Macaca fascicularis: one gene and its partners. Each later gene encodes a partner of the first gene's protein in a complex. Links are inferred from orthologs where the notes say so. Each region holds a gene or a part of one and is shown on either strand. Other genes may lie near its edges.

Region 1 (7,629 bases):
AATATTTTTGTACAGCTGTATAACGTGTTGTGTTTTAAGCTAAGTGTTATTACAAAAGAGTCAAAAAGTTACAAATTGAAGTTTTTAAAGTAAAAAAAGTTATAGTAAGTTAAGGTTAATTTAATATTGAAGGAACAATACGATTTTAAAAATAAATTTAGCATAGTCTAAATATAGTGTTTATAAAGTCTACGGAAGTGTACAGTAATGTCCTATACCTTCACATTCATTCACCACTTACTCACTGACTCACCCAGAGAAACTTCCAGTTCCGTAAGCTCCATTCATAGTAAGTGCCAAATAAAGGTGTACCGTTCTTAAAAATCTTTTATACTATATTTTTACTGCAACTTTTCTGTGTATAGATATGTTTAGAGATTCAAATACTTGCTACTGTGTTAAAAATTGCTTTCTTATTCAGTACAGTAACATGATGTACAGGTTTGTAGTCTAAGAGCAAGAGGCTGTACCATATAGCATAGGTGTGTAGTAGGCTATACCACCTAAGTTTGTGTAAGTACACTCTATGATATTCAGACAGTGATGAAATCTCCTAAAGACAAATTTCTCAGAACATATCCCTGTCATTAAGCAACACATAACTATGCAAAAGTATCTAAGGGAATTCCAAATACGGGCTGGATAAAATGAATTGCATTAGCATTATGCATTACAATAAGAAAGAACCAATATTGAGTTCACTCCATGTGCTATTTCACTGGTGTTCAGAAGTATGATCCTGTTTCATCTTCACAACAGGCCTGAAAAGTTAAATTTCATTATCTACAATTTCTAATCATAGAAGGTAAGTAATTTGCCAAATGAAACAAAGCCAGTAAGTAATTTCTTAAGCAAGATTTTGAATTTAGATGTGTTTAAGTTCTCAGCCCACATTCTTTCCACTATATCAAGAAGCTTGTTGAAGATGGGGGAGGGCAGATCCCAATACCTTCTTAAAAACTGTACATATTATGTTCTTGCTTCTTTGGGGCTTTTGTGAAGTTAAACTCCTACTTTTCCATTTGTAAGTATTCAGTTTCCTACACAGTTTTAAAGGCTCTATTTAGGTTCCTCGCCTCATCTTTACAGGAAAGCATGCCATTATTGGCATTGATTAAATATTCATGGCTCTCCACCCTCTGGATTCCATACCCAGCACCTGTCATAGTGCCACCTTACTGTCTGGACTAAGGAGGAGTTGGTTTTCTTATATTAATTGGTAGTAAGCTCCTCATTTCCATTTTCCAGGTAACATGCTTGTGTGTTTGTTTTCAGGTATGCAGGCTACATAGATTGGTTAACAAGCATCTTTCACTTAAACAAATAGATAAAGAGCAGGTGTCTTCAGTTCCATGTCCTCAAACTTACACGGTGCATTAGCTCTGACTTCATTACTAAACACAGTATTCCTTAAATCTCTATTTTGTAAACAAACAAAAAATTACCTTTGTATAGCTACAGAAAGTCCTGTACATGATAAGGATATTTTAAATTCTCTGGTTATTTTCTATACTCATTTTTTAGTTTATGTATTTTCTTTGACATATCCCATTTCAAATTTTCAAGGTTGACACTCATGCCTATGATCTCTAGGGCTTAAAAGTCAATTTCTGTACAGTACAACACACAGTCCACTTATTTTACAAACCAAGGGCAGTCAAACCAAGCCATGAAAAACAATTTTTAGGTAGAAATTAGGCTACTATTCTTAATCAATATAGATGAAGCCTCACTATTGCCAAAGATCTTAATTACTATGATGATGATGATTCAGTAATCTAGATTTAATTTTCAAAGGAATTTCAAAAGGAAACTCTCCACTTCTCATCCCACAACTATCCAAATGCAGACTCAAGCCTAAGTATTAAATCTCATATAAACAATAAAAAGGTGGGTGGCAGCGAAGGGGTTTGAGGCTGTTTATGTGATGTGAGTCTCTGTTGGATCAGTTAATTTTGATACTTCACCTTCCTAAAGCATCCAACCCTTAGGAGCAGATTTAACTTCTCGCCATCCACGCCATCTAGTGGCTGTATATGTTATGTTTGGTTTTAAGGATGATTCGTAATGACTCGGGGGCGGGGTACGCGAAAAACAAAACGGTTGGTCGCGACAATTTTCCTGTGTCTCTCCACCTCAGTTACCCCTCATGCGAACATCTTTAACTACTTTAACTATTTTAAATATGCGCAGTGATGCGCAGAGAGGATGAAGGGGACGCAAACTTTCAGAGACGCACGCCCCTTGACGATGACATTTAGAAAAGGGCTCCACATCCCTCTGTTATTCTAAAGGACGGGAAAAGGAGTTGTGTCAAGACCTCCACCGAGGAGACTCTCTGATTTTTTGGCAAGTTGGACAGATGGCATATTAATCCCTGCAACGTTTAACAATCTGGTTTGGAAAATAAATAAAAAGAGAAAGAGGAAATGCACTTAAAAATTCCGCGTCGGGGCTTTGCAGGTCTTGCCTTCCAGTCGCCCCCAGAAGACAACCAATTCCTGCGCATTCCGCTCCGCTCACTCTCCTTCCCAGCTTCTCTCGCTCTCTTTCCCCCCATTTTCCCACGCTCGCCTTGAACCGGGACTCGGGAGGCAGAAGCAAGGCACAGGTCCCCTTTCTCCTCTCCTCCACCAAACCACCGCAGCCCAGCGCGTGAAGCTTCCCTTTGTTCATCCGAGGCTCGCTTTCCTCCCCGGCAGATCCACCTGGATGCTCTCCCTCGGTGACATTTTGCGCCGGGGCTGGTGGGTGGCTGGGGTGGAGCGAGAGGAGTCCGAGGGGGCGGGGGCGGAGAAAGGTCAAGCCGAGGGAAAGGCAGGAGACGCCTTTCCTAACCTGCGTGGCGGGGCGTGCGCGCGGTTATTTATTTATTTTCTCCTTATTTATTGATTGCACTAGCAGAGCAGCGCGGGGAGCCCGGGGAGATGCAGGACCACCCACTGGCGGGGAAGCAGCTAGCAGCCCTCCCGCGCCCCCGCGCTGCCGAGCGCCTTCTGCCTCCGCGCTCGGACCAGAGCCCGTGCCGGCCCCGGCCCCGGCCCCGCCGCTCCGCCGCCGCCGCCCGCCCGGCCGCCCCGCAGCCCCGCCGCCCCGCCGCCCCGCACCGCGCTGGCCAGGTCCCCGCGACAGTGGCCCCGCAGTAAGTTGGCAGGAGCGAGTCCCCTCCGTTCTCGCCTCCCCCGCACCTTTTGAACTTGTTGCTGCTGCTCTGCTCGCCTGCGCCTGGCTTTTGGAAGGTGAAAAGGAGGAGGGAGGAACGGAGGGATGGGGGAAGGGGGAGAAGAGCTCGCTTGAGCTTTATTTATGCTCCCTCGGCGCATCGGATTCGGCTGCTCGCGAGCTGCTTTCTCTCCTCTTCCCTTTCCGGGTGCACGGCGAGGAGAAAGTCTCTATGCAACTCAGCCCCGGCGCGCGCTTGGCCAGGTATGTACTGCGGGCGCGGCGCGTTCTGCGCGGAAGCAGATGCTGCTGCCGCCACGGCGGCGGCGGCTGCCAGCTCCTGGGCTCTGTAACTGTCACACTGCACCTGAGCTGAACTTGAAAAGAGAGTGAAGGGGCGACTGGGCGAACGCTTTTGGCAGACACAGAGGGTGTTTGTAGACGTGGGGGAGGAGGATCTGTATTAACGCCCCCCACCGTACCCACTGCACATCACCTCCATCTCTGCAAATACAGCCCGAGGAGTAGAGGCAGCAGCAGCTGGACCCCCAAAGAGAGACGTGGGGCAGCGGCTGTGACCGTATCTCCTGAGCTACAACAACAGGTCGCCTTGTTGAGACTCCTTTGGCGGGAAGGGCTACTTGGAAAGGAAGGTTTGAAAGAGTGAGAAGGGTAGGTGGAAGGATTCCCTAATTCGTCGAAATAATTCTATTGGGTGACTCTCGTTCGTCTTCTCTATCCTACACTCCACATACTGACCCCATATTATCCAGACTGTGCCAGGGGAGAAATCAAAGACACCTGTTTGAAGAAACGACTGCACCTGTGTGCTTATTTGTGCCAGAGGGTGGCCTGGCCCACCTGCTGGAAGCGGTTTGGCTAGGTTCTGTTGGGGGCGATTGTTAAGACGTTGTATTTTGTTGTCATTACTCCAAACACCTGTCTTGGAGGGAAACTTGCCCTTCTGAGAACTGTGACTTTACCAGAAGCCCTATCTCGGAATAAGAGTGACACCTCTGGACCACGTTTCTCACTAGTACTTTGCTTGACTGGAGGAAGTGGGTGAGTTGTGGCTGCTTCGGTTGACCCATTGTAGACGCCTCGTCACCCTTCTTCCTTCCACTTCAAGGAGCCATGGCGGCGGGGGTAGCAGCGTGGCTGCCTTTTGCAAGGGCAGCGGCCATCGGGTGGATGCCTGTGGCCTCGGGGCCTATGCCGGCTCCCCCGAGGCAGGAGAGGAAAAGGACCCAAGATGCTCTCATTGTGCTGAATGTGAGTGGAACCCGCTTCCAGACGTGGCAGGACACCCTGGAACGTTACCCAGACACTCTACTGGGCAGTTCTGAGAGGGACTTTTTCTACCACCCAGAGACTCAGCAGTATTTCTTTGACCGTGACCCAGACATCTTCCGCCACATCCTGAATTTCTATCGCACTGGGAAGCTCCACTATCCTCGCCACGAGTGCATCTCTGCTTACGATGAAGAACTGGCCTTCTTTGGCCTCATCCCGGAAATCATCGGCGACTGCTGTTACGAGGAGTACAAGGATCGCAGGCGGGAGAACGCCGAGCGCCTACAGGACGACGCGGATACCGACACCACTGGAGAGAGCGCCTTGCCCACCATGACTGCAAGGCAGAGGGTCTGGCGGGCCTTCGAGAACCCCCACACCAGCACGATGGCCCTGGTGTTCTACTATGTCACGGGGTTTTTCATTGCCGTCTCTGTCATCGCGAATGTGGTGGAAACAGTGCCCTGCGGATCAAGCCCAGGTCACATTAAAGAACTGCCCTGTGGAGAGCGGTATGCGGTGGCCTTCTTCTGCTTGGACACGGCCTGCGTCATGATCTTCACAGTTGAGTATTTGCTTCGCCTGGCTGCAGCGCCTAGTCGTTACCGTTTTGTGCGTAGTGTCATGAGTATCATCGACGTGGTGGCCATCCTGCCTTATTACATTGGGCTGGTGATGACAGACAATGAGGACGTGAGCGGAGCCTTTGTCACGCTCCGAGTCTTCCGGGTGTTCAGGATCTTTAAGTTTTCCCGCCACTCTCAAGGCCTGCGCATCCTGGGGTACACACTGAAGAGTTGTGCCTCAGAATTGGGCTTCTTGCTTTTCTCGCTCACCATGGCTATCATCATCTTCGCTACAGTTATGTTCTATGCAGAGAAGGGGTCTTCGGCCAGCAAGTTTACCAGCATCCCTGCAGCATTCTGGTATACCATCGTCACCATGACAACACTAGGGTAGGTGCCATAATGAGAAATGGGATGGAGGTTGGGTATGGGTGAGGCGATTGTGGACCCATTAAGATTACATGATAATTCCGGGGAAATCATTTGGTTTCTTTCCTGAGTTTAGGAAAGCATTATCTAAATGGTTTGGCAAAACTCTTTTGATCTGTGAAATGGGTATAATACACAGGTTGAAGTGTTAAGGCATTGCTGGCAAATGTTGAGCATTGATGCCTGAAAGTGGTAAAGATACAAAGAAATTTTAGAATTCCTGAATATATGAAATAGTAACAATATTTATATTAATATATAAAAATATGACAATGAAAAACAAAATCTATGCACTAATAAAGACACAAATATATACAATGTATATTGAAATTTCTAGAAAATGGTTCAATGCATTTAAATGAAAAGTTTCCAGGTATACTTGAACTATTATTTTCATATGAATAGATACTTATGGTGTGCATTTTTCCTCTAAGAACCATAATTCTTATTTTACATCGTAAAACATAGATTGTAGATGTAATTATCAAAGTATTTTATAATATATATGCACATATTCATATGTATGCACTTTAATTATGGTTGATAGGTTATTCAGTGTTTTAGAATATCAGAGCTGAAACTGATCAACTCTACAATATGCAGTGGAATTAAATTTGCAACATATTTCAAACTCTAGGTTCATAGTTTCAAAAAAAGAAGCAAAAGACTGTCATCCACACATTTTTTTTTTTAGAATCTACAGATCCCATCAGGCAATGGGCCCACACCCATTAAATACACATAGAAGATAGAGCAGTATCTGGTAAGATGGATGGTCACCAAGGCTGGCTGTATTATAAAATTTGGGGTCCTAATTTCCTTTTAGAATTTTTTTGTGCATTCTTTTTGGGGGGTATAATGAAGTTCTGTAACCAAAGGGACACATTTCTGAATTCACGTTTTTAATAGACTTTTAGGGCTAGAATTAAGTTTTTTTAGGTAGTAGAAAAAAGGAAAGGAGGCAAATGATTAAGAATGTTAGTCAAACTGCAGAAAAGTGGCAACATTTTAAGTATTAGAGAATCTAATAAAATAAAATGGTTAGATCCTTTTACTTTTATGAGTTCTTAGATAAGCTAGGGAGTGATGTTAGTGCCTTTTCTTCAGCTTTATGCTACTATTCTTGCATAGGTAATCAGTTCAGTGAGGATTTGGTAATGGCTGTAAGAAAAAAAGTTATTCCCAAGGCTACTCTTTAAGCTTTGTGTTTCTGGATAATTTAATTGGCTTCTTTAAATGACATTGTGGTTAAAGTCGACTTAATTTTATTAGACATATTGTGTTGTACAGAATTTCTCATGTTATATGGCCAACTAATGGAATATTTTATATATGAAGAATTTTAGGCTAGGTTAAACAATAAATTGTGGTAAAGAAAAATACAATAATTTATGATTTTTATTTAGTCTCGTATTTTTTTTAAAGACCTACTGGTACATTTAAAAAAATGAATTAGTGAAAATCCATGTTCTACTTCTTGTATTGCCTTTTATTCTTGTTTGTAAATTTGTGACAGTTTATAAGGATAAGGATGATGCAGAATGCCTTCACAGTGTAGGTGCTTATTCTTTATCAAAGAGGTTTGTTTTTGTTGTCTTGTCATTTTCTAGCAGGATATCCTTATTAGGCACAAATGGGTAGTACAAATCACTATCATGACATCAAATTAGAAGCACAACTGAATAAAAAAGAAGATTTGGTTTTAATAGGAAGGGAAAACTATTAAAATGAAATACACTTTAAACATTTCTTATATAGGGCTGTGTGTCTTGAGGTATCAGAGAGTCATTTTAATGCTATATAGTGTCTATATGATTGAATATAGGTATAAAAAGAATGTTGATGAGAATTGTAATTTCGTGTAGCTAATAGTTCTGTAATAGACTTGAGAAGTTAGCATTGTTTTAAAACTTGTTTCTGGGAATGACTTTCCAATTTTTATTTTATTTTGAAGCTTATTTTTGTTTTTAGGAAAAAAAAATGAGGCAACATTAAACATTAGTGACAATTTTTTATTATGTAAATAAAATACTTAAAAGCACCTATTTTTGAAAATATTTAAGAAATTGAATTATAATGGCAGAGTAAAATCTATGCAGTGGATTTAGTTCACATGTTCCATAGGTAAGTAAGTGGATTAGAAGCATTGAATACACACACTTTCTTAGAACTTGGAAGC
Region 2 (7,382 bases), on another chromosome or scaffold:
CCAGGGCCCGGGGCGGTCCGGTCTCCGCCCTCACCCGAGTGGGCCCTGCGTGGGCGGCGCGGGAGGGCCGGCCCGGCAGGCATAGGATTGAAACCCTGGAGACTTCCCATGTGCTCCTGGCCGCCTGAGAGGAGCTCACCCTGGCCCCATCATGTGAAGCATCCGCCCCCAAAGTTCCTGGACTAGGGGGGCAGGGAGGGGTGGCGCGGACTCAACCTTCTCAGAGAGCATTTTTCTGGGTTCTGGCGGGGAGGCCAGGCAAGTACATGTGGGTTTTGAGAAAAGAGCTGGATGGGGAATGAACCGTATCTTTTATTGCCTCCTTTCAGCCCCCCTTTCTCCGCCTGTCGCACTCCTCCCCGCACCCTGCACCCTGCCCCCACCATTTTGGCATAAAGAGCCGAAGGAGTAAGAGGACAGAGTTGTCATGGCAACTCCCCACACTTCCACACTTTCTGGACCAATGGAAGACAAGACAGGAGGAAGGAGAGGAGGCCAGTGTATTGAGGTGGCAAAGAAGAGGCGGCAGAGTTGTGTCCCACTGTTTTCTGTCTCCCGGCTCCAAATTCCTTGCTCTCACAACTGTTTCTATTTGCGTTTGTCTCGGTGCGGCAGGTTTACAGACTTTACCACCACACGCTGGCTACAGCCGAATGCTTCGAGAAGAGCCCCACCCCCACCCCCACCCCCCCACTTCGGTCCCACTGAGCCCCTTTCCCGGACTCTGGACTCATCCCTATCAGGTTACACTCCAAGTAAACCCTTCCAGGACCCTCTAACGCCTTCAAATTCCTGGGAAAGCCTACGGGAGAGATATAGTCCCGCTCTTTCGACTGGGATCCTGCATATTTGTTTGAAAAGCATACTTTTAAGTGGTGGGAATGACCTCCTAACTCTGGGCAAATCTTACCAACTTGACGGCGACCACCCCATCGCGAAGCAGCTCCGTGCGCATGGCTCCTCGCAGCCACACGGGGGCACCCCCGCCCCGGGAACAATACTCAGGGCCGGAGGGACTCCAAGGAGAGATCCCAGTTCGGGGACCGAGCTCAGGACTGGCCAGTCAGGCTCCAACCCTCTCCGCATCTTCTCTTGGCCTTTCTCTCTTCCACTCAGACAGGGCCGCCGCTAAACGTAGCCTTTCCCCTCGGAACCGCACTGCCCAGCGGCCCCACTGGGCTGGGAAGACCCGAGGGATTAGACAGGGGTCCGGGTGGGGCTCGGACTGTGTTTTGTTTTGTTTTCCTAAAGAGTCTCCCAGCTCCGTTTTGAGCTTTGGGTTGGGAGTGGGGAAGCAAAACGGTCGAAGGTACCCAGGATGCCCTGAGGTGTAACTTTCCAGCTGCCTCCCTGCAAGCCTGATGGGCCAGGATGACGGGAGCTGGAGATTACCCTAAATCTGATCCCAGGAATCCCACCTGCAGGCAAGGGAAGGCGAGGCCTGGCGCGCGCTTCAGCACCGCGGACAACGACTCCCCTTCGTGCTTCAGCTTAGGCATCTCGCAGCACTCAGAGCTTGGCGCCGCTGCCCGCCCAGAGTCTTCGTTAACACTGGCGTCCCAACCTGATTTGTCTCCCACTATAAAATAAGCCGCCCTTCGAGATGAGAGCTCCTGGTAGTACTATGTCTACTTTCCAAGTCCTGTGCGGAGCTATCTACAGGTAGGCTGCTGTAGACCCGTACCACGATTCTTGACGCTTGTCAACATTTGACCTTTCCATTTCCCTTGGGAGGCAGGCAGGCAGCCAGGAAGTAACATTCTCTTTTACAGATGAGAAAGGTGAGGCCAAGAAAACAAAAGTCACATAGTTGGTACACTTCTATTCCTGACTGACCTGAGGCAGGGCATCTCCAAATACAAACGCTTCCGCCACCCAGTCTCATTCAAATAGCTAAGTGCGGAAGGGATGGTTCCATTAAGCAGGAGAACCCCTTAAAGCTGGAAGCAAACACTGACTTAATGTGATGGTATTGAAGGCCCCTAGGCCCTTACTACTCTCAAGAATTCTAAGATGGAGGTGGAAACAGAATTCATGGAAGTGCTGGACAGCGGGCCCTTTGGATTCCATCCAGCTCTGAGGGGCATCTGGCATGCTCTCTCATCTGGGGCCAGCCTGAGTGGCTCCCCTGATCCTGACTAGGGCCTTCCCAGGAACAGTGATGGGGGGTGGGGGTAGGCACATGTTCAAGGCACCTCATCCTAGTCCCCTCCCCCTTCCCAGGTCTCAATCTCACTCCCCTCAGGAAGGACAAGGATCATGGCTTCCCTCCACCTCCCCAGCTTTGTTTTGGCCTCAGGGAGACAGCCTCCCTCCTCCCACTCTGCTGGCTTTCTAGAGCAGGCTGCACAATGAGAGACACAAACACACACATGGAAATGTACGAAGGGTGACACAGTCACCTACACAAACACATGGCTCTTCCTACCAAACCCAGGAACATGCACATGCACAGATGTACTGGTCGCACATACCTCCCCATGTGGGAAAGAGAGGATGCCCAGGCAGCCAAGTGGTTTGGGGGGACATACAGGACATCACATGGAACTTCCCAAGCCTAGAGCTTCTAGCTCTGGCTCTGGAGGAGAAGCAAGAGGATGTGTTTTCCTGGGGTTTGAGTGAAGTTCTGAAAGGTTTGTTGGGGGTTGAAGGATTCAGTTGTAAGAATAATCTGAGTACATGATTTGGTGTGGGAAGAGAGGGCTGACCCAGCACTAACTAAAGCCTTCCTACAGGGGCTAGGTGCTAGAGCCATAAGGTCTCTTGGAAACCAGGCTGGGCAGCTGAACACTAGAGTCCCTCCTTGGGTCCACCTGGGCTATTTGCGGAAAACTTGGTGAAGCAGTGGGGTGTACTAAAGACCCCTATCTGTACCAGGAAGCTGGAGAGGCAGCAAGGATGAGACACGTCATGGACACTCACAGAGCCCTGCTGCAGACATCACCACATGAAAGTACACAACTAGCACCAAACACTAATCTCACAATCACAAAACACAACACAACCTACTTTAACAAATGCTTGCCCAGAGGGCTTATGGTCATGAAGTCTACAAAGAGACAAGCCACCCTAAAGTGGAGCCCTGACACACTCTGGTAGTTACACACCACTTCATACAGAATTACACACTCAAAACACATCATTGCACATATAACAGAGACACATGGTCAAAACAACTTCATCAGTACAGCCAGGGTCCTATGCAACCTCAAACATCTGACAAGACCATACAGTTGCACTGCCACATAAAATCACACTCACCCTAGCTGTCACCAAGCCCAGGGCACATGGCAACCAGCTGTGGGAGGCGCGCGCGCGCGCGCGCGCACACACACACACACACACACACACACACACACACACACACAGAATGACAGGCGCTCACGCACGTAACACCTCCCACTCCAGATACCCTCCCAGCCCTGTGTCACATACGCCCACACCTGCTGCCTCTCCACACCTGCCTCTTCTGTTCCTCCCCAACCCCTGCGGGACCCAAAGCTTTGAACCCCAGTGTCCTGCCGCCCAGACCTGCCAGAAGAGTGCCTGGGAATGGGGCAGAGTGTGGGTGCGGGCCAGGTCGGGGTCGGAGAGGCGGAAGGGTGTGGAGGAAGCCACCCTCCCTCCCGCGACCCCCACGTCACTGACTCACCCGTGAGCTGGTCGTAGGATCCGTCCAGGTCTCGGGAATCGGACAAACTCTCCTTGCGGCCCTGGCCCCGCATGGCCCCCGGCGCCCCGCTCCCGCCCGGTCCGTGGGAGGGGGCGCCGGGTGGCCGGGATAGGGCGCTCACACGGCGCCCCCTGGCGGCCTAGTGCACTGTCGGGGCTGGGGGAGTTCGGGTTGAGGCTGTCTGAGAAAGGGCCCGGGGTCTGAGGTCTACCCGGGGGTCCTGGAGCAGGAGAGGGAACACTAGGCAGCAGGTGAGCGCAGAGCCGGAGGCAGAGCGGAGCTGAGCGCGGAGCCGAGCCGAGCCGCCTCTCTCCTCCCGCCCCCTCCCCGCGGCTGTCACCGCCGCCTCCCCCCTTTGGCGCTGCCGGGATTGGCTCCCCCTACCCCCGCCCCCACCCTTGCAGCCCGGGGGAGGCACCCGGTGAAAGGGTGAACTGCAAAGTGCGGGGAAGGAGACTAGCTCCCCAGCAATCTGCCCCTAAACCAAAAGTCACGGGGCTTGTTGGGGGGAGGGTGGAGAAGAGCGCGGGACAGAAGAGCCACACTGAGAGGAAACCCCGCCCCTAATTCTCAGGCACCCCTTCTCCCTTCCCCCTTCGTCAACACAGTTCTGGCTGAGGCAGAGCCTGGGGTATCATCTCTGAGTCCCCGCTCCGTTTGCCTCCATGTCAGCCTCTATTTTCTCTGTTGTTCCTCCTCCCATGTATGCGTCTCTTGTGGTCCCAGACGGTCCCCACCGTGCTTAAAGCAGGATAGGGATGCAAAGGAAGAGTCAACCCAGCCTCTAATATTAGCAGGCTCATCGTGAGCCAATGGACTACTATTTCGTCTTCTCTCAAGTTCCAGAAGGACCCCAACTCTCACCCACTCCACAACCCCGTCTCTGGAACCTATTCACTCTCAGGGTGCCTCCTTCACTGATCTAATGACCCCCAATAGACCGACTAGGAAGATAAGAAAACTAGTGAACCATGTCAGTTTCTCAGACATCCTTGCTCTTTTGTTCCTCCCCTGCAGCAACTTTTCTGCCCCTTCTCTTTTGTCACCTGTCCTGTCCTAGATTCCTTGTTTTCCAGCAGATTTGGGGAGCGACTGACAGGTTTGGGGATCCAAGTCAAGATACACAGTAGGAAAGAAATGCCCTTGTTATGAAACCCCTTCTTTAAGATTAGCTCCTTTTCCAAAGGCAGGGCTAGCACAGAAGCTGGGCTCCCTCATCTCCCAGGAATGGATCCTGAATGTTTGAGCTCCACAGGTCTGACCTTCCTCAGGATGCTTCTGGGCTCCGCACCCAAAAGCCCCCCAACCCCTTGCTATGAGGATGAGCGGCCCTTGTCTGGTGGGTCTGAAGGAGTGACCTGTTAAGACCAAAAACTTTAAAGTGACTCAAGCACACTTAATTTCTTCAATTAGCTTTAATTTCTAACCACTTGATTTAATCAATCCAGCAGGAATTGTGGTGGGAGTTCCAGCCTAAGAGGCGGAGAAGTGGCTGAAGGTAAGATTGTCTTTAGGAGCAGTGCCCTGCGATTGGATCTCCCTTGGCTGTGGAGGAGCCTCCACAGACCTGGCATAGAAGCTGGGCATAGAAAGTGCTTGGGCAGCTCCTGTTGAGGTTGTTTTCCAGGAGAGAACGGACACTCTCATTTGGAGTTCTTGGAATAGGTATATGTGAATAAACTGGTAAAGAGAAGGGCCTTTACAATGGAGGGCAAGGAGCCCTCTGCTTAGTGCCCCATGCCCTTGACTCATCCTTATTCACTTGGAGGAAAGGCTGGCAGGAATCCAGAAGTGGCCAAATGGGTTGGCTTGCCTCCTCAATACCACTATGTTTGGAGATAAGGGAACTAACTCCCTTATCCCTCCTTCTACCCAGAGGGCAAGGGAGGTTACAGCTCTGTGAACCCAACTGGCCTCTACTAGGGCCAGGAGACTCAGAGGAAGGAGGAGAGTTCACAAGGGTGGGTAGGGGTCCCCTAGCCAGATGGGAGCAACACCTAGGAGATTACCTTACCTCTATGTTTGAGGAATGAGTCTGGGCAACAGAGATTAAGAAAAAAAAAAAAAAAGGCAACACTAAAGACAGTCCCACACAAATCAATTTTTAATAATTTCAACTTGCCACCAGCTCCAGATCCAGCTGCTTTGGGGGTTTATCACCAGGGAAAATACTAAATGCCCCAGGCTGAGCTATCCATTCAGTGATCAGATGACCCAGCCTGTGATCTCTTAAGAACCTACATCTACACATGGCAGCCTGTTAGTGGATTCTCTGGAACTAGCGCATAGCTGCTTAATGTTAGAGCCAGAACTCTGGTTGCCAGGGAGGGCAAGTAACCCAAAGAGATTTTAGGTTAAATGGATAGCAGCCCAGGTGGTCCCAGACATGCTCTCACTGCTGAATTCCTCCACTTATTCCTAGAATATACCGGTGCTGTTTGCTCCCGCCATCCTGAGGGCTTTAGAAAGTGCTTTAAAAAGGGAGGATCTCGAAGCAGCAGCTATTTCAGAGGCAGCTGTGGGGAAAGCCTATAGAGATTCCATGGAAGCTATCCAAGGGAGGAAGCACAAGCCAACTCCCCAAAAGTCAGATTTGCCTGTGGCCCCACCCAGAATCTGAGTGGACAGAATAGAGGCCTTATGCATGATGCTCACCTGGCCTGTTTCAGATGGAGGGCACCCTACCCCCAGGAAGTTCTCTCCCTCCCAGGCACTAAACCACGACAGGAACAGATTCCTCCCCAGAGGAAATTCTCAGGCAGGTTGGATGTAAACAACAGCAGGGTAAGGGGGTGGAACACGTGGAGGGGAGCTTAGCAGAGGCAGGAGAGGCTGCCAGAGGAGGGGGGGCTAGGGAGGCGGGGGAGCTGCTGGAAAGGGAACCAGCAAAGTAGGCACCTTGAGGGCTCCAGAAAACCTGTCAATGTTTATTTCATACATACCCTAAAGACAGAGTAAATGAGATTAGAAACGAAAAGTTAAGGTTGTGACCCTATTGTGCTGATGGATCAAATGGGTCAGAAGGAGGGGAAAGATAATGGTACTCCTAGTGCCAACACTAAAATTCAAAAGGCGGTGGCCAGACAGCAGAGCACTGGGCAGATTCTCATCTCCAGTTTCCCAGAGGAGTCAACTCTGAATTCAGAAAATAGGAAAACTGGCCGGGCACGGTGGCCATGTCACGGTGGCTGACAGGAACAAACTCTAGAGGATGTGAGAAGAACATCTAGGCTCCCAGCACTTTGGGAGGCTGAGGCGGGTGGATCATGAACTCAGGATATTGAGACCATCCTGGGTAACATGGTGAAACCCCATCTCTACTAAAAATACAAAAAATTAGCTGGGCATGGCGCACACTCCTGTAGTCCCAGCTACTCAGGAGGCTGAGGCAGGAGAATCGCTTGAACCCAGGAAGCGAAGGCTGCAGTAAGGCTGAGATCACGCCACTGCACTCCAGCCTGGGTGACAGAGGGAGACTCCATCTCAAAAAAAAAAAAAAAAAAGGAAAAAGGAAAAAGGTACCCCATTCCTACCCTACCCTAAATCTGAGCCAAGGGTCCTGATGACTGGACAAAGTGCCAGTGGGGGCAGGGGACACAGATTTCAAGCCAAGCACAGCCCCAGGCCCAAAGGAAGCAGGATGTAGCTCCAGCTATATCTGAGAGTTCATCTGTTTTCAGAAGCCGAGCAGAGCCACTGACTTTCAGGG
Region 3 (6,835 bases), on another chromosome or scaffold:
CTTCCCAGCCTGTGGTTACCATCCTTTTACCCTCTATCTTCATATTGTTTTGATTTTTAGATCCCACAAATAAGAGAGAACATGGGATGTTTGTCTTTCTGTGCCTGGTTTACTTCACTTAACATAATCACCTCCAGTTCCATCCATGTTGTAGATGATTAAATCTCATTCTATTTTACAGCTGAATAGTACTCCATTGTGTATAAGTACCACATTTTCTTTATCCGTTCATCTGTTGATGGACACTTAGGTTGCTTCCAAATCTTGGCTATTATAAACAGATGTACAACAAACATGGGAGTGCAGATATCTCTTTGATATACTGATTTCCTTTATTTGGGGTATATACCCAGCAGTGGGATTGTTGGATCATATGGTAGCTCTACTTTAAGTTTTTTTGACTCTCTATTTTGATCCATTGATCTATATGTGTATCCTTATGCCGATTCCCCGCCGTCTTGACTACTGCACCTTTTCATGAAGTCTTGAAGTAAGGTAGGTTTAGTCCTTTAACTTTGTTCTTTTTTTGGTTGTTTTGGTTATTTTAAATTTTTTGCATTCCCAAATCAACTGCTACAAAATACCTGCTGGGATTTTGATTGAGATCGCACTAAATCTATAAATCAAATTTGGAGAATCCACATCTTAACTATATTGGGCCTTCCAACCCATGAGCATGATATATCTCTGTGTTTATTTAGTTAGTTATTTCAGCAATATTTTATAGTTTTCAGTGTATGAGTCTTGCACCTATTTTGTTGAATTTTTCTCAAAGTATTTTGTGCTTTTTGATGCTATTTTTTCTTAATTTAATTTTGTGGTTGCTTGTTGGATGTAGAATTATAAATGATTTTTGTAAATAGAACGCATGTCTTCACTTTGTTAAATTCACTTATTATTTTTCGCAATTTATTTCTAGACTCTTAAGGTTTTCTATTAATACAATTGTATCATGTACAAATAAAGACAGTGTTAATTCTTCCTTTCCGGTCTATATCCCTTTGATTGCTTTAAATATAGTGAATTATATTGATTGATTTTTGAATGTTAAACTAACCTTGCATTCCTAGAATAAAACTCACATAGTTGTAGTGTATCATCCTTTTATATATTGCTGGATTCAATTTGCTAATAGTTGGTGAAAGCTTTTTGTGTCTGTGCTCATGAGGGGGACTGTTTTGTAGTTGTTTCCTCTCATAAGACCTTTTTTTCTTTGGTTTGGGTATCAGGGTACTATTGGACTTATAAAACAAGTTGCAAAATGTTCCATCCTCCTCTATTTTCCAAAATTTTTTGTAGGATTGGTATTAGAATTCACCAGTCCACCATCTGAGCCTATAATTTTATTTGGGAATGGTTTTTAACTGTGAATTTTTTATAATATAAAAATTTATATATAAAAAATTATAATATAATTTCTTTAAATGATACAGAGCTAGTCATATTTTCTGATTCTCTTTAAGTCTGTTTTTGCCTTTTGTGTCTTTCAAAAAACATGTTCATCTAACAGCTTCCCAGGGGAATATGGATGGGCCCCTTACCCTAGCCCTCCACCATCTGACTCTGTTGACCTGTCAGCCTCATCCTGCACCAATCTTCGGCTTCATAACTTCATCTGCAACCGGCTGCAACCTTTCTGTTTTTGAAACACATGAAGCTTTATCTTGCCTCAAAGCCTCTCTAGTGGCTCTTCCTTCTGCCTGGAACACTTTTCCTGGCTTTTTGTATAACTGGTTCCAGTATGACAACACCTCCTTAGAGAGGACTTTGCTAACCTTCCCTGCCAAAATATCTTCTACCTGTTGATTCCTTTTTGGCCTGTTTATTGTCCATCTCTCTATACTGCTCCAGTGTGAGGCCTAGTCTGATTGGTCACCTCTTTACTTCCAGCACCTAGAACACCTAATAAGTCTTCAAATGTGTGTTAATTAAAAACATGACTAAATGAATGAGGAATGAAAGTTGGATAAACTCTCTGAGCTTACAGAGAGAACCTTGCAGCGTTGAGGTGAAGATAATTGCGCTGATATCTACACTCCAGGCAGTGCACCTGGCACACAGGAGCTCAGTAAGTGGAGTGTTACACGATGCCAAATTCCAGCTTCCACTGAGAGACCATGGTACAGTGGATACTGAGGGTATTTCACTGGCTACAGACGTCTTCTGAGGTTCTAAAAGTGCGAAGCAGTGAAGATTCAGAAATTATTTGTGATAATTTCTTTAAAGACAGCTGTACCTTCCATTACCCCCTTGGAGGTTGTATTAGTAGGCAAAATAGGTTAAGGCCAATATGACCCAGTTATAGGCTCCTCTTAAAACCCTTTCTTTTCTATTCTAGGTGCTACCTACAATTCCACCATTTCAACTTTTAGCTTTAACTTGTGGCTCCCAACCTTCCCAAATGCACGTTCTCTAGGGAAGAGTAACTCTTTACACTGAAACAAGTCAGTTTTACCCACTGTGTAATGTCTACTGAATCTAGGTGACCCAGGGAGAATGAATCGGTTTAATCCTTTCTGGGCGCTTGGGAACAGGCAGGGTAGGGCAATGAGGGAGGCCTTCTTTATTTTGCCAGGGACCAGCTCTGTTAGCCCCAAAGCAGAGCCTGCCTCATTCAGACAGCACTATCCTCAAGCCTGGGACTGTTTTCTGTTGGGTTAGTTACCTTCACTGGAACCCTCTCACACCCCTGGCTCCGGCTCACTTACCTCTTTGTTAATATATCCATCCTTATTGATGTCATACAAATTAAATGTCCACCTTAGTTTCTCATGGACAGTTCCTCTCAGTAAAATCGACAGAGCGGTTACAAAGTCCTGAGAAGGGGAAAAGGCAGGAGTGACATCAGGCAGGGTGAAGCTGTGTCTTTGGGTCAGATTGTGATACTCTCACAGAGTGGTGCCTCCCATGTCCTCTTGTCTGCCTGGAGGACGTGGCTATGCTCAGTGAAGAGCTCCTGCCTTCGGGTCCCTACCCTGCCCCATTTTTTTTGCCAGGTGCCCCCTTGAGGAAGAATGGAGCTCTGAGAGACACAGATCAATGCAGCCAACCCTGTTATTGCCTTATCCATGGCTGCAGTGGTCAGTCTATCATCCCAGTGGCCATATGGCCTAGTGGCTGAGGACGCAGACTGTAGGAACAGTTTGTATTGAGGGTCATTCTGCCTGCATTCAAATCCATCCTTTATTATTTGTGTGCTTTTTGACCTTGGGAAAACTACTCTCTCTCTCTTTGCCTTACTCTCCTCTTCTGTAAAAGGGTAATAAATAATAAAATGCTACCCTATAGGGTTATCGTGGGGATTAGAGTAAATGAGTTAGTACATCCAAAGCCCTAAGTACAGGGGCTGCCACTGGGAAGCAGTGTGCCCGGGAGCTCACACACTGTTGTTATTAGTCCCCCGAGTCCCTGAGTTCCTGCAGGCCAGGCAAAGTTGCTACTGCTTCTCCCCATCTTTAGGAAATGCTTACGAATGGATAAATGTGTCTTTGGTCTGACTGAGAGCTTTTGATGGTCCAGCCCTTCCCCCAATGCCTTGAGATTTAGAGGGGGAGGTGATGCAGAACCAGAGGACCCCTAGAGTGGACCCCAGATGAGCATACCTCGAACTTCACGGAGCCTGTCTGAGTGGTGTCGAAGGCATTGAAGAGGTAATGGGCATACGTGCTGGCATCTACAAGGCAGAAAAGGAGGGCAGGTGATGGGGGCAGGAATTCCACACAGGGAGAACCTTCCAAACAAGGCAGGGCTTCGACAAGAAAGAGAGGAGAGCGATGCTAGGGTGATGGAAAGAAGAAAATTATGGAGTGGGGCCCATTGACTCAACTCTTTGGGTTTGGGTGGGAAGTTAGATCTAGCAAAAGGTGAGATGAGCCCTTATCCCTCCCTCTAGCATCGTGAGAAAACCTTTCTCCTGCCTATCTATGCACGGAATCGTCAGTGTATGAATGACACAGTGACTGCATGACAATGTTCTTCTGAGCGGCCATGCAATGCCTGGGATGAGCACGCACTCCAGAGTAGAGAAATCTGAACTTGGATGCCGCTGTACTACATAAGCTGTGTGACTGTGGGCATCAAACATGACCTCTCTGAGTTTCCCTTTCCTACCTCTGTACAATGGGATGGAGCAAGACCTATCTCTTGAAATTTGCGAAAAAGTATTTTAAACTAGAGCTATGCCTGGCATACAGTAAGAACTCAATAAACAGTGGCTTAGTGGAACTCAGAAAACTGCAATTCTGGGGCCTGCATGGGACAAAACTGCCTCCTGCACCTGATCTGGGTAGGGGCCCCGCACACCAAGGAAGGCGTCTGTCTGCTGCCAAAAAGGCCCTTGAGGAACAGGGCCCAAGAAGTGTTTGGAATGCTTGGATCTGCATTTTGTCAGGATCCGGGGAAGGTGTCTTGCAGGAGACAGCTCTTGGAGACAGGATGCAAGGTGGCATGTGACACATGGAGGCCACAGGAGGAGCCACTGATGTGGTCCCAGGCCCATGGGGACAGAGCTGGTTCCCGAGTCAGGCAGGGCGACAGAGCAGCTGCTGTGGGCCTGGCACACTTGTAACCTGGCTTAATAAGCACAACTTTATGTTTCCTGTCTCTTTTTCATTTAGTTTATTTTTATAGTCTTGGGTATTTACTGGAGTTCTTTTACAAAATTCCAGCTTGTCTCAGCTATTTTAAGGAAAAGAATCAAAAGTGCCCTGCACAATGGTGGCACCAGAATGGCAAAACTTGTTTCAGACCCTTATGGAATCTAATCCTGGTCTGCTACTCACTCGCTGTGCAACCTTGAGTACATTGCTTATCTTCCCCGAAACTCAGTTACCCCATCTGGGATTATAATACCTGCTTTCTAGAGCTGTTCTGAGACTTTGTGATGTTGCATTATCAGCCCTTCTTCCCCTTCCAGGGTGGGTTCGTTTTCAGAGTTCTTTCCTGCTAAAGCTTTGGAGACTCCCACCTCTCACGACGAGGGAGGTGTCCTGCTCTGAGTTTGCCCCTTCCTCGAGAAGGAAGCAGATAGCAAGGAAGAGTGGACTTGGAGGAGGGGAAGGCTATTCACCAGAGAGGGTGCTGGGCAAGATAGATTTCAAGGTCAGACTCACCTCCGTGAGGGAAAAACTGAGCATAGATCTGCTTGAATGTGTCTTCGTTAACCACACCACTGGGGCACTCCTGTGGGAAGGGGAGAGAGTCAGCAGGAGGTGTCTGAGGGCCAGCACTAGGAGAAGACTGGGCCCAGCCTTGGTGTCTGGGGTTCCTCATGATCCCCAGGGGCAGGGACCTGTGCATTTCCACTTCTCCGAAGTAACTCCATCTCAGGACTGGAGCTGCTTTGCCAAATGATGAGACATTGTCAGAGAATGGGCACAGTGAGGTGGAGAGATTTGGGGCCTTAAGAGCAGAAAAACCTGGGTTTAAATCCTGGCTTAGCCAATAAATACTAAGCTTTGTGACTTTGGCCATGCCAGTCTCTGATTCTCAATATCCTTACCTGTAAAATGGGGCTAACAATACTTTCCCCAAGGGTATCTTATGAACCTATGTTAGGTGGTACTGAGTCCATGGTAGATGCCAAGCAGTGTAGATTTCTTCTCTTTTCTGGATGCTGTTCCCTCTGAGCCCAGTGCCTGCCTGGGAAACTTTCCCACAGGATCCTGCTCCAACTCGGCTGCCCACTGCTAATGCTGCCATCAGAAGGAAAGAAGCCCTGATGGTAGGAAACCAGGCACTTGGTATGTGCAATCAAGGCTAGTGTGGAAGGAAGAGGCATCCCAGCACCTGTCAGATGACTCCCAGGAGGGGCTAGAATCCCTGTGGGTCAGCACTTTGGAGAACAATGAGGCTGCGGTCAGTTTGGAATTGACCCAGCTCAGTTCTACCTATAGACTGCACCTGGAGGGAGGGTGACCAGGTGCACATTGCTCTAGCCCACCCCACTCCACACCACCCCAGGATTTGGGAATAAGATTGTGCTCTGAGAGTTAAACTTAAAAAAAAAATAGATTAATATCCAGGATTGCATCTGAGAGCTCTCAAGCTGACCTGAGAATGCAGGAACATATTAATGTATTTAAAGTAACAGCTAAACAAGGCACTCCCATCCTCTGACTCCACTTTTGATTGTAACCTGGCTTCCACGTGGCTTCTAAGGAGAGCGGGTCCCAGCGAAGGGAGAGGAGTGTCTGGTCCCACTGTCAGTTCCATTTCCTGTGGTAAATTAATACACTGACATTCGGCTTACACATCAGTCTCGGTGAGCCTGGTTAGCATGAGTCAGCAGGCCTAAATCCCATTATTGTGGGGGCACCACCAAGTTGGAAGGTATGACTATGTTAAGGGTTAAGGCTTGACCCTGGGCTGGGGTGAATTCCCTGAGGATGTGCCACCCTGTGAAGTTTCTGGGCAGTTGGCCGTTTACTGTCTCCTGACTTTGCTCCATCCTCGCCTGGAGCCTTCCTTTCCAACCAGGTGATCTCCCTCTCACGTCCCCTTTATAGAGCTGGCCTTCCTTGTGTAGCCTCACATATGGGAAACTGCCTTATGAGCTCCCTTGGCATTGGGAAGAGCTTAGCCTTACGTGGGAAACCCCCCGAGGCCTTCAGAGCCTGCGCGGGTCTTACGTTTTTGAAGCCTCGATAAAGGACCTGCAGCTCCCTCTTGGTGAAGTTGGTCTGGGCCTCAAGCTGCTCCAGTCCCTCGGGCCGATGGCAAACCATGGTCATCTCCAGCTCATCTTCAATCTTATCTGGAACCAGAGGAGATGGCATTGGAATGGTTGAACTTGGGGGTCACTCTTGTTAGGTAACAATCTGGGCTGTCAAAAGAG

What was found.
Region 2: the proteins of KCND2 (region 1) and KCNIP2 are in contact, whole or in part, in a cryo-EM structure (PDB 7UKH), measured with the Homo sapiens proteins. The link is inferred for Macaca fascicularis from reciprocal best matches to the Homo sapiens genes KCND2 and KCNIP2. Residues at the interface, in NP_036413.1 of Homo sapiens: Val5, Ala7, Trp8, Leu9, Pro10, Phe11, Ala12, Arg13, Ala14, Ala15, Ile17, Gly18, Trp19, Met20, Pro21, Val22, Ala23, Ser24, Gly25, Pro26, Met27, Pro28, Ala29, Pro30, Trp55, Asp57, Arg61, Arg100; in NP_775283.1 of Homo sapiens: Arg112, Gly113, Phe114, Asn116, Glu117, Cys118, Val123, Phe128, Ile131, Tyr132, Gln134, Phe135, Phe136, Tyr144, Leu148, Phe152, Phe165, Leu169, Ile172, Leu173, Arg180, Trp183, Ala184, Leu187, Tyr188, Met201, Met205, Ile208, Met211, His228.
Region 3: the proteins of KCND2 (region 1) and KCNIP1 are in contact, whole or in part, in a cryo-EM structure (PDB 7E8E), measured with the Homo sapiens proteins. The link is inferred for Macaca fascicularis from reciprocal best matches to the Homo sapiens genes KCND2 and KCNIP1. Residues at the interface, in NP_036413.1 of Homo sapiens: Ala2, Val5, Ala7, Trp8, Pro10, Phe11, Ala12, Arg13, Ala14, Ala15, Ala16, Ile17, Gly18, Trp19, Met20, Pro21, Val22, Ala23, Ser24, Gly25, Met27, Ala29, Pro30, Gln33, Arg35, Lys36, Arg37, Thr38, Gln39, Asp40; in NP_001030009.1 of Homo sapiens: Thr60, Arg62, Glu63, Val66, Leu67, Arg69, Gly70, Phe71, Asn73, Glu74, Phe85, Ile88, Tyr89, Gln91, Phe92, Tyr101, Leu105, Phe109, Phe122, Leu126, Leu129, Leu130, Lys137, Thr141, Leu144, Tyr145, Val162, Ile165, His185, Phe189.

Annotation. Positions count from the first base shown.
Region 1 is NC_088377.1:161,880,088-161,887,716, forward strand, and holds the start of KCND2 (A-type voltage-gated potassium channel KCND2), read left to right. Parts: upstream 1-3,649; 5' UTR 3,650-4,296; coding exon 4,297-5,411; intron 5,412-7,629. UniProt on the Homo sapiens protein: Voltage-gated potassium channel that mediates transmembrane potassium transport in excitable membranes, primarily in the brain. Mediates the major part of the dendritic A-type current I(SA) in brain neurons.
Region 2 is NC_088383.1:110,826,774-110,834,155, forward strand, and holds the start of KCNIP2 (A-type potassium channel modulatory protein KCNIP2), read right to left. Parts: upstream 3,950-7,382; 5' UTR 3,726-3,949; coding exon 3,653-3,725; intron 2,726-3,652; exon of another isoform or gene 2,539-2,725; coding exon of another isoform or gene 2,475-2,538; intron 1-2,474. UniProt on the Homo sapiens protein: Regulatory subunit of Kv4/D (Shal)-type voltage-gated rapidly inactivating A-type potassium channels. Modulates channel density, inactivation kinetics and rate of recovery from inactivation in a calcium-dependent and isoform-specific manner.
Region 3 is NC_088380.1:177,523,685-177,530,519, reverse strand, and holds part of KCNIP1 (A-type potassium channel modulatory protein KCNIP1), read right to left. Parts: intron 6,755-6,835; coding exon 6,630-6,754; intron 5,182-6,629; coding exon 5,112-5,181; intron 3,674-5,111; coding exon 3,603-3,673; intron 2,817-3,602; coding exon 2,709-2,816; intron 1-2,708. UniProt on the Homo sapiens protein: Regulatory subunit of Kv4/D (Shal)-type voltage-gated rapidly inactivating A-type potassium channels. Regulates channel density, inactivation kinetics and rate of recovery from inactivation in a calcium-dependent and isoform-specific manner.